Linked DNA regions of Lonchura striata. The protein of the gene in region 2 interacts with the protein of the main gene of each other region in a biochemical or structural test. Links are inferred from orthologs where the notes say so. Each region holds a gene or a part of one and is shown on either strand. Other genes may lie near its edges.

Region 1 (7,314 bases), on a different chromosome or scaffold from region 2:
AAAAAAAAAGGAAAATCAAAGCTGAGGAAACCCTATAGAAAATCTCTTCCGAGATAGCACCACTCAAGAACAGCTGTAAACAGAAACCAGACCATAAAAGGTCTCCAACTTATCAATCTGGTTGTATTAATCTTTTAGCAGCATTATGTGAAGTAGTGCCTCCCAAACAGAAAATGAGTCAAGACTCCTGGTCTGAGTTCCCAGCTCTGGCAAAGAGCCATCATATAATTTTAGGAAGTCAAATCTCTCATGCTTCAGTGCACTTGTCCGTAAGCTATGAAGGAAAGTGTTTACTGAGAATGGACCAGCCCAGCATCATGCCTTGAGCAAGAGCCTTTGTCCAAAAAGCTCAGAGGCATAGTAACATCTAATGGTGGCAGTGGGAAAGTACACTGCAGTAATTTAGTCTTACTATATCATTTGCTACATTTCTAAATAGTACTGGAGATTATGACCCAGGCACAAACAGCTCTTCAAATGACTCACGTGATCAGCAGAATGGAGCCAACACTGAGGTGGGAATTCTCAGCTGGACAAGCCACACTGCTGTCCATTTCAAAGAGGTAGAAACACTCCTGCTCCTTTTCCCGCTCTTCAGAAATAATGCTGAATGAACTCTGCAATTTGGGAAAAGTGAAGTCATGTGAAAACATGCCCACACACACTGTACTTCACCAGGAGATAGTTTTATCAATGTTGGGGCAGCTGGGCACCAGACACTTGAGGCCAGCTCACTGTCCCCTCAAAACCTCTCTGCTCACAACCAACCATTGGTCTGGCAGCCCCCGATGCTCTCTCATCCCAGGTGTCACTCACCGCTGTAACTCCCCGCTTGCAAGAAATCATTATCACAGCTCGCCTCTTCTCACCACTGCAGTGCCTGCCATATGAATCACCTCCTTTATAAATCAGCATGATCCAGTCACCTGCCAGGAGAGAAACAATACAGGCTACAAATCCAGATCAGGAGGCGAAAGGCAGCTCCTGAGTAAGCCAAGTATTGAGTGGAATCGTACTTCCATTGAAGACCTGGGTTTCATTGATTCTTCCTATCACCGTGGTCTTTCCATTCTGTCTATCTGTTTGCACCAGGCCACCAAAGTCGTGCGAGGTGCTGTTGACCTCCCTGCACACCCTGAAATTGTAGACGTAGTTTTCTGTTTTGCCCTTCTCCACAGTCACGTTAAACCTGCAGCAGGGAGAGGACAGAAGAGACAGCCCATTGGATTACAAAGAACACTCGGAGCAGTGTCACTCCAGACCCGGCAGCCCATCAGAGACCAGACCACACTAACAGGGGGAGTCCATTCTGCAGTCTGACCCAAATCCTCCCTTCCCCTTGGCCCACTGCGCAGCCCCGAGGCCTGCAGGGTGTTGTGCTGTACCTCATGTGGCTCAGGGGCTCCAGTTTCTTCAGCAGGGCTCTCTCTGTCTGTGATTCACTGCTCTCATCACCAACCACATCACAGCTCCTCTCTTCGGACTGCTCAGCCCCTGCTACAGCCAGGGCCACAAAGACCAGCAGCAAGGCCGAGGTATGGCAAGGTGGTGACATCCTGGACACATGCCACAGAGAACACAGAGGATTAACTTCACAAAGGATTAGTTTCAGCCCCCTGCAAACTAACTTCAGGGTCATGGAGTCAATGATTAGCCACTTCCTCAGTCCTGACTGCAAAAAGCAGAAGCTGAAACAACTCACAGTTCACAAGAGACTAAATCTGAATCTCTTGCGCAGCCAAAGTCAAATCACTGGGCTGATTTGGGGCCCTCTTCTGAATTTGCTTTGAGACCACAAAAAGTTTTGCTGCTGAGCACATTAATTGGCTGCCAGAGCAGAGTCCAGCAGACTGAATGCTGGAGTAAATTTCAAGCATAGTCCACTGTTTGTTATGGTGTTGCTCTGAGAAGCCAGTCAGCAGAAAATTATTTATGAGGCCTCTAATCAATCATCTTCACAGCTCTCGTGTAAAGAGCTCACAGGGAAGAGCCACTGTGGTTAGTCAGACTCTGTTCATTCAAGTGCCTTAATCTTTATAATGATCTTCCCAGTATTCCTTTAGCTGAAAATCTGAAATACATTAATAATGCTAAACTGCAACTTCACAGAACCTTCCTTTCCTTCCCTTCCCAGTTTCGACTAGGGAAGAAGGAAAGCAAGGCATCCTATGTAAGATCCAATCAACAAGGCAGTAAGGAAGATAATAACAGTAAGAATTAATAATAGCAATAATAATAACAACAACATTATAAGACTGTAAGAGTTGGCTTTCAGGTTCATGCTAAAATCACAAATGAAACACTCAATGATGGCACCAGTCAAACAAGGCAGTCAGATTCCCCCCCCCCCGCTTCTTGTGTGGCAGATTTTGGTAAAGCTCCAGTCGTTGGTGGAAGGCAGGCCCTCCATTAAATAAGCACCTGGACACAGAGCCCGTTTGAGTGAACCTGATGATTTCCCCAGAGCCCCCGGAGTCCACAGCTGCTGAGCGGCTCTGCTCGCCACGGGGCACCAAAAGACCGCAGAAACCACGGAGTGGGCAAGGCTGGAAGGGACCAAAGTGGGTCACTTGGTCCAACTTCCCTGCTCAAGCAGGGTCACCCTAGCGTGGCACAGGATTGTCTACAGACGGTTCTGCGGTATCTCCAGCGAGGGAGACTCCACAGCCTCCACGGGCAATCGGTTCCAGTGCGCGGTCGCGAAATGAGGAAGCCCGTGACACGAGCACTCGTGACTGCTCTCTCCCAAAAGCAGAACCTGCGCTCAGCCCTAGACATGGCTTCTCCCGGCAACTTGCTGCGCCTCGCTGGGAGCGGCCCGGCCGAGCTCCTCCAGCCGGGGGCCCCTGCCCCAGACCCGCCCGGGACGGAGCGCGGCTTCGCCCCGCGGCCTCGCTGTGCCAGCGCCGCACCCGCCCACCCACCTGCGGCCGCCCGCGGGGAGCAGAGACCCGCGGCTCACGCGCATCCCATACTGGGCGGCACGGGCGGCACGGGCGGCACCGGCCTCCTCCGCGTCCCGACCGGCTCCCTCGGCTGCCCCGCGAGCCGGAAGCCGGGAAGAGCGTGGCGGAACTGGAGCCCGGCTCCAATGGGAGCGCGGGAGCGGCCGGGAGCGCCCGCCCAGCAGCGCTGCGGAGCGAATGATGCGCGGCGGGGAAGGACGGGCAGGGCCGGGGCGCGCCGGGGCACGCCCCCTTCCTTTCTGCCAGCCAATAGGCGATGAGCCTCAGCACGGAGGCTCCGCCCCCGCTCGCCGTTCTGCCAATGAGCGACGAGGGCGGGCAGAGAGGAGGAGCCCTCACGGCGCGGAGCCGGAGCGAGCCGCGCCTGCCGTGCCGTGCCGTGCCGTGCCGTGCCGAGGCTCCCGCTGCGGATCAGCGCCCACAGGGGCTCTGTGACTGTCCCTCGCTGAAGTGGCGCTCTGCCCTCTCCTGTGCCCCGCGCAGGTTCGGAGAGCCGCAGGCAGCTGGCCGCATCAGCAGGAATGAAGGGCTTCTCGGCTTCTCCGGAGGCGGTAGCAGTCCCTCTGTGTTGAGCTTTGCCATACCCACCAGGTGCCTCCAGAGTGAACTGTGTTGCAGGAGCAAGGCGCCTCGACCACTTCACAAACTGCTTTGTGGCCTTGATCCTTCTGATTTTGTCCCCACTTTGTGTCTCTGGTGGATTCTCCATGTTTTGTTCTTGTACTTTGGAATAAAGGTGCCTCCCCCAACTCCTGCAGATTTTACCACTGTAGAGGAATTCCAGGTCCAGCACACAAGGTTGGGGTGCTTGAGCATCTTGGATGTCATTAATAAAGCTATAAATGTGAGATGTGAGACTGGCCTGTTCAAAGGACATCTCTCTCCTTATGATGTGTTCCCAGAGCACGTCCCACTTTCCAGGAGTCTGCTACTGGAAGGGACACATCTTCTTCACCAGAGTTCTGAGACTTTTGCATCCTCTAGTTAAGAAAGAAATGCTGCAGTTAAAGAATGTACCAACATGCTGGAAAAGGTATGTGTCTGAGTGAAATTTGGGAGGTTCTCCCTCTGGTATGCTGCTTCAGTAGTGAAGAACTACGGAAGAAATGCTGCTGGCTCCTGGAAAACTGATCAGTTTAGTTCTACTGTGGCTCCATACTTACAGTATGGCGCAGCTGCATTAGTCAGATTTATTTATTCACACTTACATGTGAATGTAAGTGTGAATAAATAACCGAGAGTTGCCTTCATACCTTCTACAGTGTGATCCTTCCCCCTCTACTTCCTGTCTTACTGGTATTATGGGGAAAAAAAAGGTAAACAACATTAAAACAGCTCTTAATTCTTTCCCACAAGCTTACACTTCTCCACTTCTTCACAAATAGTGCTGTCTTTGTAGTCACTCTGGGTCAGCAGGCAGCCTGGGCAGTTTAAAAGTGACAAAACTGGCAGGAGCTGGGAGAGGCACCTTTATTCCAAAGTATGAGAGAACATGGAAATACTGGAGAGAATCTACCAAAGAAACACAAAGCTGGGATAAAATCGGATTTGGACACTTAAGCTGTGTCTTCTGTCTCTCTGAGCTTGAAAGCTCTCTTTAGACTTCTCTATTATTCACTGGAAGCATTTAGGAGAGACATTCTGCCTCTTGTCTTGCTCTGCTATCTTATGCCTTCCCCATCCTTTCAAGCACTCTCCCTATCTTGCTGTCCAGAGGCCCTACCTAGGATTGGAAGGAATCCTGTGGGTGCAATATGCCACCCTTACAGGCAAGTGAAGAAGTTTGCAGAAATATCCAGTCCCTTCCCCACCATGTGCGTTGTAACAATGGCAAATCCCATGCAGTAATTTAGAACATGTCACCAGAATTTAGAACATATCACCAGAAGGGGGAACAATCATCCCTGTTGGAGGTAGCAGTGATCCCAACTCCTTTGTTGAGCATGCCCAGACATATATTGCAAATTAACTGTAGTGTACTGTGCTGAAGAAGTGCAGCCTGAGCCTGACCAATATTCCCATTCTGAGCACAAAATGGAAGGGATCAGAATGTGGATTAAAACAAAAACCAGCCAACTATGCAGCTAGGAGATTTATTGGGGTGCTGGAAACATCTGTACTCCCCACCAGAATCACAGAATCTTTTAGTTTGGAAAAGACCCTGAAGATCATTAGGCAAGCCCAGCACTAAACCATGTCCCTAAGCTCCACATCTGCATATTTAAAAAAAATACTTTCAGGGATGGTGACTCAACCACTTCCCTGTCCAGTCTGTCCCAGTGCTTGATATCCTTTTCGGTGAAGAAAATGTTGCCGATATCCAATCTTAACCTCCCCTAGCACAACTTGAATTATTCTCATCAATGGTCAACACTTCAAAAGAAAAGTAGCTTTTCCTATTGTTGCTGACCATAGAATCACCAAATGGTTGAGTTGGGAAGGAACCTTTCAATGTCATCTGGTCCCACCCTCTGCTCAAGCCAGCCCACCTTCAACCTGGTCCACCTACAGCCCAGGACTGTGTCCAGGCCACTCACCACTGAGGGACACACCACAACATCTCTGGCCAACCTATGTCAGTTTTCAGCCACCCTCAGAGTAAAAAAAAGTGTTTCCTGGCAACACCTGTGTTCAGAGGAAACATCTTCTGTCTTTCAGTTTGTTACTGTGGCCTCTTGTCCTCTCACTGGGCACCACTGAAGAGTTTGACTCTTCTTGTACCCTCCCTTCCGGTAATTATATACATTAATTGGATCCTTACCAAGAAGTCTTTTCTCCAGGCCAAGCAGTACCAGGGCTCTCAGTCTTTCCTCCCAGGACAGAAGGTGTGGTCCCAAAGGATAACTCTTTGTGCCCTTTTGGTAGATTATCCTCAATATGCCCCTGTCTCCCTTGTACGATGCTGTTGAGATGTTGACTTGGATGTACTTGAGGAATGCCAGCTCTCAGTGCATACCTTGTGGCTCAAGCACAGTCACACTGATATTTGGTATAGACAGAGTTCCCAGTTTGAAGTGGAATTGTCCAAAGCTCACAAGGATTCAATTTCAAACCTGTGCTGTCCACCTTTATTCCTGTTTGACAGCAGTAGCGCTGCCAGTTTGCCATAGCCATTGCTTGTCCCATTTTTCACCTTGTACTCTCACTATTAACCTTTTTTACCTTGTGCTGTCACCATCCCACTGTTTCTGCCCTGAAGGGAGCTCCTCAGAGCCCACGAATCCTCCCAGTTGCTGCATCGGTGTAATCACACCCTCTTGCATTAGCAACAATTAGAGTGCCCCTCAACTTTGTCATTAATCACCTTTTCCATTAGTAGCTGTTCTTGAGACATCCTCCATCAGGTTAGAAAATGAAAGCTGCTGCAGTTCCACCACTCTCCATTGTTGTAAATTTGGTTATCTTAACAGCTGGAGATAGAGGTAGCAGCTTTATATTTCTTGTCTTCTGAATATAGCCTCAGGCTTCCTGTTTCACAGGCATTGAGCCCTGTTGCTTAACAACCTGATTGAAACATCCTTTTGTGCATGCTCCTTGCTTTGGTATGGAGGCAAGCAGATCAGAAATTTCTGCAGGTGATGAGAGCGAGGAAGTAACATATACTTCTCTCAAATTCTCTCAGACTCCTCCAAGGGCTAAAGCTCCACAGGAAAAAAAAGGTGAGGAAAGATGGATGAGGTAGGTCAACAAAAAATTTTACTTTGAGGGAAAGCAAGATTTAACAGAAACACTCTGAACTGGCAAGTGATTCTGAGTGCTGGCTTAGAGAGCTGTTGCTTTGGTTCTAAAATTACTGTGGATATTAAAGCTGATGAGTTAGAGACTCAGCATTTTCCCCCTCCCTCTTACCGACCTCCTTCAGTGTCTACTCCTGGGCATTCAACCCAGGCATCCTTTTCTTCAAAACTGGTTTGCAGTTGTCTGCTTGTCAGCAGCAAGAGGTTGTGAGCTATAGTTCTTTGAAGGGCAGGCAAGATGTGAATACAGATAAATTAGAGGCACATGGTGATCAGAGATCAGAGACAGAAAGCATATGAGATCATCCAGCCTCTCTTCTATGGGGCTATGCAGGATTCGTTTGTGATTTTTCCCCCGTTTTCTGTGTTCTAGTGTTACATACCTCCTAGTGAGCAAATTTTCAGCTTTTGCTGTGAAGCAGTTCTTCAGGGCACTTTACGATCAGGAAGATTTTCTTAGTGCCTTCCTTAAATTTTTTCTTTCCTTATTTCTTCTCCATTACCCCTGATTAGACCTGCAGATGTCACACCGAACAATTCATCTGGCAGCTTAGTTGAGAAATACTACCTTCAAAGAGTCCAGCTTTGCATTGGTGATCATTTTTTGTAAA
Region 2 (7,598 bases):
CTTGCTCCACTCCAGCCACAGCTGCTGCAACTTCTCCTGCCCGCCCTGCAGCCTCTGATCCACGCCCTGCCTCAGTTGCTCCACCTGGGAGAGGGGCACAGCCCGCCTGGGTGGAGGAGGCACCGGGGCCACACCTCAGGGTGGCACAGGGGGTGCGGGGCTGGGTCCTACCAGGTCGAGGGTGCGCTGGAGCTGGGCCAGCAGGTCCTGGCTGCTCTGGCGGGCGCTCTGCAGTTTGGCCAGGGAGTGCTGGAGCGCTCGGTGCTGCACCTTGGTGGAGAGGGAGCCCAGGCGCACGAAGTAGCTCTGCTGCTGCCTCTGCTGCTCCGGCTCGAAGCCCTCCACGGCCGTGGCCAGCTTGGCTGTGGGACAGGAGCTGCTCAGGGGGTCCCAGCATCACCATCACCACCCCACAGAGCCCCTCCTGCTCTGCCCACCCTCTCTGGAGGGTTGGGACCAGCTGCTCACCCAGTTCCTCATCCGTCATGGGCAGGTAATGATCCACCAGCTCCTCGGACTTGCCCAGCACGGAGCCCACCCCGCTGGTCACCATCTGGCCCACGGTGCTAACGCCGCTGCTGACCGCAGACCTGGTCAGCTCCACACCACCCTGCACTGCCCCTCTGGTCATGTCCATCACACCGGTCACTCGGCTGCTCACGGCGTCCTTGGCTCCGGCCACAGTGCTGGACACTGCATCCTTGGCTCCGGCCACAGTGCTGGACACTGCATCTTTGGCCCCGGCCACAGTGCTGGACACTGCATCTTTGGCTCCAGCCACAGTGCTGGACACTGCATCCTTGGCCCCAGCCACGGTGCTGGACACTGCATCCTTGGCCCCGGCCACCTTGCTGGACACTGCATCCTTGGCCCCAGCCACGGTGCTGGACACTGCATCCTTGGCCCCAGCCACGGTGCTGGACACTGCATCCTTGGCCCCAGCCACCTTGCTGGACACTGCATCCTTGGCTCCGGCCACAGTGCTGGACACTGCATCCTTGGCTCCAGCCACAGTGCTGGACACTGCATCTTTGGCCCCGGCCACCTTGCTGGACACTGCATCTTTGGCCCCGGCCACGGTGCTGGTCAGCACATCCCTGGCCCCTGTCACCGTGGAGGTCACCAGCAGTTTGGTGTCCGAGATGATCTGGTGGACACACAAACTCTGTTAAGCACTGGGGAAGCTCTGAATGTTCTGCCCACCCCACCCAGCCCACCCCGGTACCTTCTGGGGGGGCTGCTGCAGGATGGGCAGCTTCTCCTCCAGCTTGTCCAGCCCTTTGCAGGCCAATTCGTTGGCGGTGGAAACTGGAGATGTGAAAATAGGTGGGTTTAGCACCCTGCTGCCTTGCAGGAGCTCTTCGAGGGCCGATTTCCCATCACCCCAAAATTCAGGGGGTGCTACCCCTACATCTTTCAGCTTCTCCAGCCATTTATTCCTCAGCCATACAAACCAGAGACAAAAAACCAGACCGTCCCTCCCCGGGCTCCTCACGAGAGCTCGGTGAGAGCCGGGTTTGGGGTGCCCCAGCCCCGTGGGGTGCTGTCCCCCATCCCTGCACTCACTCTGGGGCTCCAGCCGGGTGAGGAGGGGCTGGGCCCCGCTCACCGCTGCCGCTGTCAGCGTCCTCACGCCCTTCTCGGCCGCATCGCAGACGGAGCGCACGTAGGGGTGGCTCTCCTTGGTGCACGAGTAGGCGGAGGACACCATGTCGTAAGCAGAGCTCACCAGGGGCAGGTTGGCCACGCGTGTCCCGATGTTCTGCGGGCCAGAAGGGCTCAGGGTGAGCGTGGCACTGAGGGACTCCCAAACCTCACCGGGAACGGAGCGTGTTGTGCGCCCCCAACACGCCGGGGATGGTTTTGGGGTGCTCCCGTGGCTCTCCAAGCCCATTGCAGGGTGGGATAACCCCGTCTGCAAGCTGGGACCCCGTGGATCGCCCCCACATTCCCCGCACTGACCTGCTGCTCCTCCGCCTTGGGCTGCTCTGGCGTGGGCTTGCTGGAGGCCATGGTGGGGCTGGGGGCACAGGTCGGGACCGTGAGTGGGGCCAGGCCCCCCCAGCACCCCCCTCGCCTCCCGGAGGGAGGACCCCGGGTTACCCCTCCCGGAACGGGGCAGCTCCCACGCGGCTGGAAAAACCCGGGACAGGGGGGCCCGGGCCCGGGATTGGGATAACAGGCGGGACCGGGACCGGGATTGGGATAACAGGCGGGACCGGGACCGGGACCAGGATCGGGATCACAGGCGGGACCGGGACCGGGATTGGGATCATAGGCGGGACCGGGACCGGGATTGGGATCACAGGCGGGATCGGGACCGGGATTGGGATCACAGGCGGGATCGGGACCGGGATTGGGATCAGGATCACAGGCGGGACCGGGACCGGGACCAGGATCATAGGCGGGACCGGGACCGGGATCACAGGCGGGATCGGGACCGGGATTGGGATCACAGGCGGGACCGGGACCGGGATCGGGATCAGGATCACAGGCGGGACCGGGACCGGGACCAGGATCATAGGCGGGACCGGGACCGGGATCACAGGCGGGACCGGGACCGGGATTGGGATCACAGGCGGGACCGGGACCGGGATCACAGGCGGGACCGGGACCGGGACCAGGATCACAGGCGGGACCGGGACCGGGATCACAGGCGGGACCGGGACCGGGATCGGGATCACAGGCGGGACCGGGACGGGATCACAGGCGGGACCGGGATCGCGATCGGGATCACAGGCGGGATCGGGACCGGGACCGGGATCGCTATCGGGAGTAGGATTGCGAGCGAGAACCGGGACCGGGACCGCCATCGAGAACAGGACCGGGATCGCGATCGGAACCGGGATCCAATCGGGATCGGAACCGGGATCGCGGACCGGCCCCGGATCGTGCTCACCGCTGGCGGCTGGGGTCGGCTCTGCTCCGCTCGGTTCGGCTCCGGGCTCGCCCCGCTCCTCCCCGCCGCCCTTTATACCCCGGAGCCCGCCCCGAGCGCATGTGACCGGAGCCGCCCAGCGGGGCCGGCCCGGGGCGCCCCGGGAGCAGCGACCGGCGGGGAGCGCGGGGCCGGGAGGCAGCGAACCCCCGGGAACGGCCTGCACCGAGACCCCCGCCCGGCACCGGATCCGCCGGGACTGGGCTGCACTGAGACCCCGGACCCCGTTCCTCGGTCGGTGCTCCACTGACCCCCCCGCTCCCGGTACCGGATCCCCCGGGACTGGGCTGCACTGAGCCCCCGGAGCCCGTTCCTCGGTCGGTGCTCCACTGACCCCCCCCGCTCCCGGTACCGGATCCCCCGGGACTGGGCTGCACTGAGCCTCCCCGGACCCCGTTCCTCGGTCGGTGCTCCACTGACCCCCCCGCTCCCGGTACCGGATCCCCCGGGACTGGGCTGCACTGAGCCCCCGGACCCCGTTCCTCGGTCGGTGCTGCACTGAGACCCGCTCCCCGGTACCGGATCCACCGGGACCCCGTTCCTCGGTCGGTGCTGCACTGAGCGCCGCTCCCCGGTACCGGATCCCCCGGGACCCCATTCCTCGCTCGGTGCTGCCCTGACCCCCCCCGCTCCCGGTACCGGATCCCCCGGGACTGGGCTGCACTGAGCCTCCCCGGACCCCGTTCCTCGGTCGGTGCTCCACTGACCCCCCCCGCTCCCGGTACCGGATCCCCCGGGACTGGGCTGCACTGAGCCTCCCCGGACCCCGTTCCTCGCTCGGTGCTGCCCTGACCCCCCCTGCTCCCCGGTACCGGATCCCCCGGTACCGAGCTGCACTGACGCCCCTTGCGCACCGGACGCTCCCGGGACCGCTCTACACCGACGCGACTCGCCGGGATCCGGCTGCGGTGACCCCCCCAGCCCAGAACTAAGGACCCCCCGCCCTTCCCGGGCACCGATCCCCCCACCCCGACCCTCCCAGGCACGGGGGTCCCGGTGTTCCCCGCACCTGGCCCGGTGGAGGCGGTGGAAGCGGTCCCGGGGGGTTCGGGCGGCGGAGGCCGGGCGGTTCTGGGGTGCCCGGTGTCACCCCAGCTGTGACCACGCTGCGCTTTGTGACGTCGGGGGAACCCCGGGGCGTGCCCAGCCCCTCCGCTGTGACAACTGGGACAAAGTTCAGTGCCACACGGCTGGGGGGTCACAGTCCAGGTGTCCTGGCACCCTGTGGCACCTTTCTCCCAGTACCCCATGGAATCCCGTCCCACTGTGTGCCACTGGCACCCCCTTGTTGAGCCCCCCTCGGGGGTGCCCCCGGGGTGGCTCTGCCACAGCGCTGCAGGCTCTGAGTAATTTTAAGGCCAAAAAAGTTGTTTTTTTCCTCTTTAAACTGGTTTGAAGCTGTTAAGACACGAAATTCCAGCATTCCAGGGGCTTAGGGCAGCCCTGGATCCCACACAGGCTCACACGGCGTCCTCCACGTGCCACCATCCCCACAGGAGTCCCCGGCCGTGACACTGGGGTGCCACGCCGGGTCCCCACGTCCATCCATCATCCCCCCATTCCCGGTGGGACTGGGGGTCGCAGCTCCGGGTGGGTGGCCCCGGTGGCTCAGCGCCGGCTGCAGACCCGGGGGGCAGCGGGCGCCTGGTGCGTCCCCCCAACGATGACAGAGCCCTCCCACTTGGACATATCCACGGGGGCATCCTCCGGGTACTCCACCAGCGCGGGGGCGAAAGGTCCCATGAGCCAGGGCAGGGGCGTGTGCTGCCCCACGTGCTCCAGCAGCCCCTCCAGGCTCAGCTGTGCCCGCGTCACGGCGTCCCGGCTCTGTGCCAGCACCAGGCCCGACAGGTCCTGGAAGGAGTGGGCGCTGGCCAGGGAAGCCTGGACACCCTCCACGCCGTGCCAGATGTGTCCCGCCGTCTCCTGCACGCTGCTGGGGAATGCCCGGGCACCGGTGGCCAGGTGGGAGCAGGCGGAGTGGAGCTGGTGCAGGAGCCCGTGGAGCATGGCCAGAGTCCGAGCCTCCACCTGCGGGGTGGGCAGCGGGCAGCGGGGGCTGGGGGTGATGGATCCCACCCCCCCATGGATGGACCCACAGCTGGACTCCGTGGCTGCTGTTCCACCCCTGTTCCAGGTGGCACCACCCCAGGTGTCCCCTTGCCATGTGTCCCCACCTCAAGAGACTCAATGGCTGCTGTGCCCACCCTCCCCAGCTGGAGCCATCTGTCCCCCACGGTCCCTCCACCCCGTACCTCGTTGTCCTCCATGGGCACCGCATCCTGCTGGCTCCACTCCAGCCACAGGTGGTGCAGGTGCTCCCGGGTGCTGTGCCAGGGCCCGTCCGTGCCCTGCTGCCCCTCCTCGATCTGGGGGGAGGTTCAGCCAGGTGGAGACACACCCTGGGGGTGCCTGGGGCCACCACGGGGCTGGCACCGTCCCTGCCCCATCCTTACCAGCCGGATGACGTGGTGGAGCTGGGCCAGGAGCCGCTGGGCACGGAGCCGTGCCCGCTGCAGGTCCCCCAGCGAGCGCCGCAGGGCCCGGTGTGGCAGCCGGGCTGACAGGGAGCCCACGCGGACAAAGTAGCTCTGCCACCGCCTGTGCCGCTCCTGCGTGGCCACCTCCGTGCCCCTGGTCACCTCCATGCCCCTGGTCACCTCCGTGCCCGTGGCCACCTTCGTGCCCCTGGTCACCTTCGTGCCCCTGGTCACCTCTGTGCCTGTGGCCACCTCTGTGCCCATGGCCATATCCGTGCCCGTGGTCACCTCCGTGCCTGTGATCACCTCCATGCCCGTGGTCACCTTCGTGTCTGTGGTCATCTCCTTGCCCTTGGTCACCTTCGTGCCTCTGGTCACCTCCGTGCCCTCCGTGCCCCTGGTCATCTCCGTGCCCGTGGTCATCTCCGTGCCCGTGGTCATCTCCATGCCCGTGGTCACCTTCGTGTCCGTGGTCATCTCCTTGCCCTTGGTCACCTTCGTGCCCCTGGTCATCTCCGTGCCCCTGGTCATCTCCGTGCCCTTGGTCACCTCCGTGCCTGTCGTTGCCGCTGTGGGACCGGGGTGAGGGCAGCGTGGCTGGGCCATCCTGTGCTGGGCACTGAAGCCCAGCGTGGGTACCCACAGGATGCTTGGCCACCAGCTCGTGTGGAGATGCCACCTTAAACCAGGTGGCCTCTGCGGTCACTTGAGCTGCGACATTGAGCTCTGCCTGATGTTACCCAGTGCCAAGCTATAAATACCCGGGCGGGCACACGGGACTATATTTGCTTTTGGATTTCCAGGTGAGAGTTCACCCAGTGCCATCCCCGTCCTTCAGGCAGGGCCTGTCCCCTGCGTGGGCTCACGGTGACCTCAGTGCTCTGGCACCGCTGCGGGGCCACCGTGTACAGCCAACGCCAAGACCGAGCACCAGGGTGAGGGTGTCAGGAAGGGCTTGGCACCCCGAGATTTGGGAGATGGTGGGCTGTCACAGTGAGCTCATTGGCACTCTGTGCCCCCTTCCCCGGGACCCTGTGGCTCTGATCAGATAACCCTGGACCCTCCTTCCTGCCCCAATGGGAGAACCAGGGAAGCCCACCCTGCCCAAAGTCTGTACAGACCCCTGACATTTCCTGTTTGTTCTCTTTTCCCCGCTCTCCACATGGACATCACAGAATAAAGAGAGCTGCACCAATATATCTGGGGTAAGAGCCTCTTTTGGGAATCTTTGCCATCTCCTGATATTCCTCCCCTCACAGCCTGCTTACCTCTGGGCTAGCCTAGGATATTCAGGGGGCTGTGCGAGGAGGGGAACGTCAGTGGGCACTCACCCAGCTCCTCATCTGCTGCAGGGAGGTACCGATCCAGCAGCTCCTCGGATTTGCCCAGCACGGCGTCCACGCCCGTGGCCAGCAGCCGCCCCACGCGGGTGCCCGCCACGGCGCCGAGCGCCACGCGCGTCCTGGCCAGCACCCTGCTCACCGTGCACGACAGCAGCTCCCGCGTCCCGGCCACCACCTGCCAGGGCACGGCGCGAGGACAGCTTGGTCCCGCTGCTCGCCCGGTGCCGGAGCCCTGCCCGTGCCCCCCCCGGCTGGCGTTACCCTCTCGGGGGGCTGCTGCAGGATGGGCAGCTTCTCCTCCAGCTTGTCCAGCCCTTTGCAGGCCAATTCGTTGGCGGTGGAAACTGGAGGTGTGAAAATAGGTGGGTTTAGCACCCTGCTGCTTGCAGGAGCTCTGCTAGGGCAGGGGTTTGGGCTCCCCCAAAACTTGTGGGGTGTTTCTCCTCCAACCCTCCAGCTTCTCCAGCCCTTTATTCATTGACACAAACTGATTTGTGATACTGTGCAACCGGATCATCCCTCTCCTGGCTCCTCAGCAGAGCAAGAATTGGGGTGCCCCATCCCCGTGGGGTGCTGTCCCCCGTCCCTGCACTCACTCTGGGGCTCCAGGCGGGTGAGGAGGGGCTGGGCCCGGCTGGCTGCCGCCGCTGTCAGCGCTCTCAGCGTCCTCACGCCCTTCTCGGCCGCGTGGCACACGGGGCGCACGCAGGGGAGCCTCTCCTTGCTGCGGCCGTAGGCCGAGGCCACGGCCCCGCGGGCACAGCTCACCAGGGGCAGGCTGGCCACGCGGCTCACCACGCTCTGAGGGTGGGGGACAATAAGATGGGGTCTACCCAC

The links.
Region 1: the proteins of perilipin-3 (region 2) and M6PR form a complex in vitro, tested with the Homo sapiens proteins (2 studies listed by BioGRID). The link is inferred for Lonchura striata from reciprocal best matches to the Homo sapiens genes PLIN3 and M6PR.

Annotation. Positions count from the first base shown.
Region 1 is NC_134604.1:31,647,800-31,655,113, forward strand, and holds the start of M6PR (cation-dependent mannose-6-phosphate receptor), read right to left. Parts: upstream 3,069-7,314; 5' UTR 2,969-3,068; coding exon 2,925-2,968; intron 1,557-2,924; coding exon 1,386-1,556; intron 1,190-1,385; coding exon 1,017-1,189; intron 927-1,016; coding exon 817-926; intron 618-816; coding exon 487-617; intron 1-486. Other genes in the region: KLRG1 (killer cell lectin-like receptor subfamily G member 1), read left to right, coding at 6,511-6,625. UniProt on the Homo sapiens protein: Transport of phosphorylated lysosomal enzymes from the Golgi complex and the cell surface to lysosomes.
Region 2 is NC_134630.1:5,987,919-5,995,516, reverse strand, and holds the start of perilipin-3, read right to left. Parts: upstream 3,037-7,598; 5' UTR 3,001-3,036; coding exon 2,900-3,000; intron 2,021-2,899; coding exon 1,963-2,020; intron 1,763-1,962; coding exon 1,567-1,762; intron 1,309-1,566; coding exon 1,226-1,308; intron 1,148-1,225; coding exon 469-1,147; intron 363-468; coding exon 172-362; intron 85-171; coding exon 1-84. Other genes in the region: perilipin-3, read right to left, coding at 4,547-4,969, 5,194-5,307, 5,395-5,616, 5,653-5,724, 5,968-5,987, 6,750-6,936, 7,023-7,105, 7,358-7,562. UniProt on the Homo sapiens protein: Structural component of lipid droplets, which is required for the formation and maintenance of lipid storage droplets. Required for the transport of mannose 6-phosphate receptors (MPR) from endosomes to the trans-Golgi network.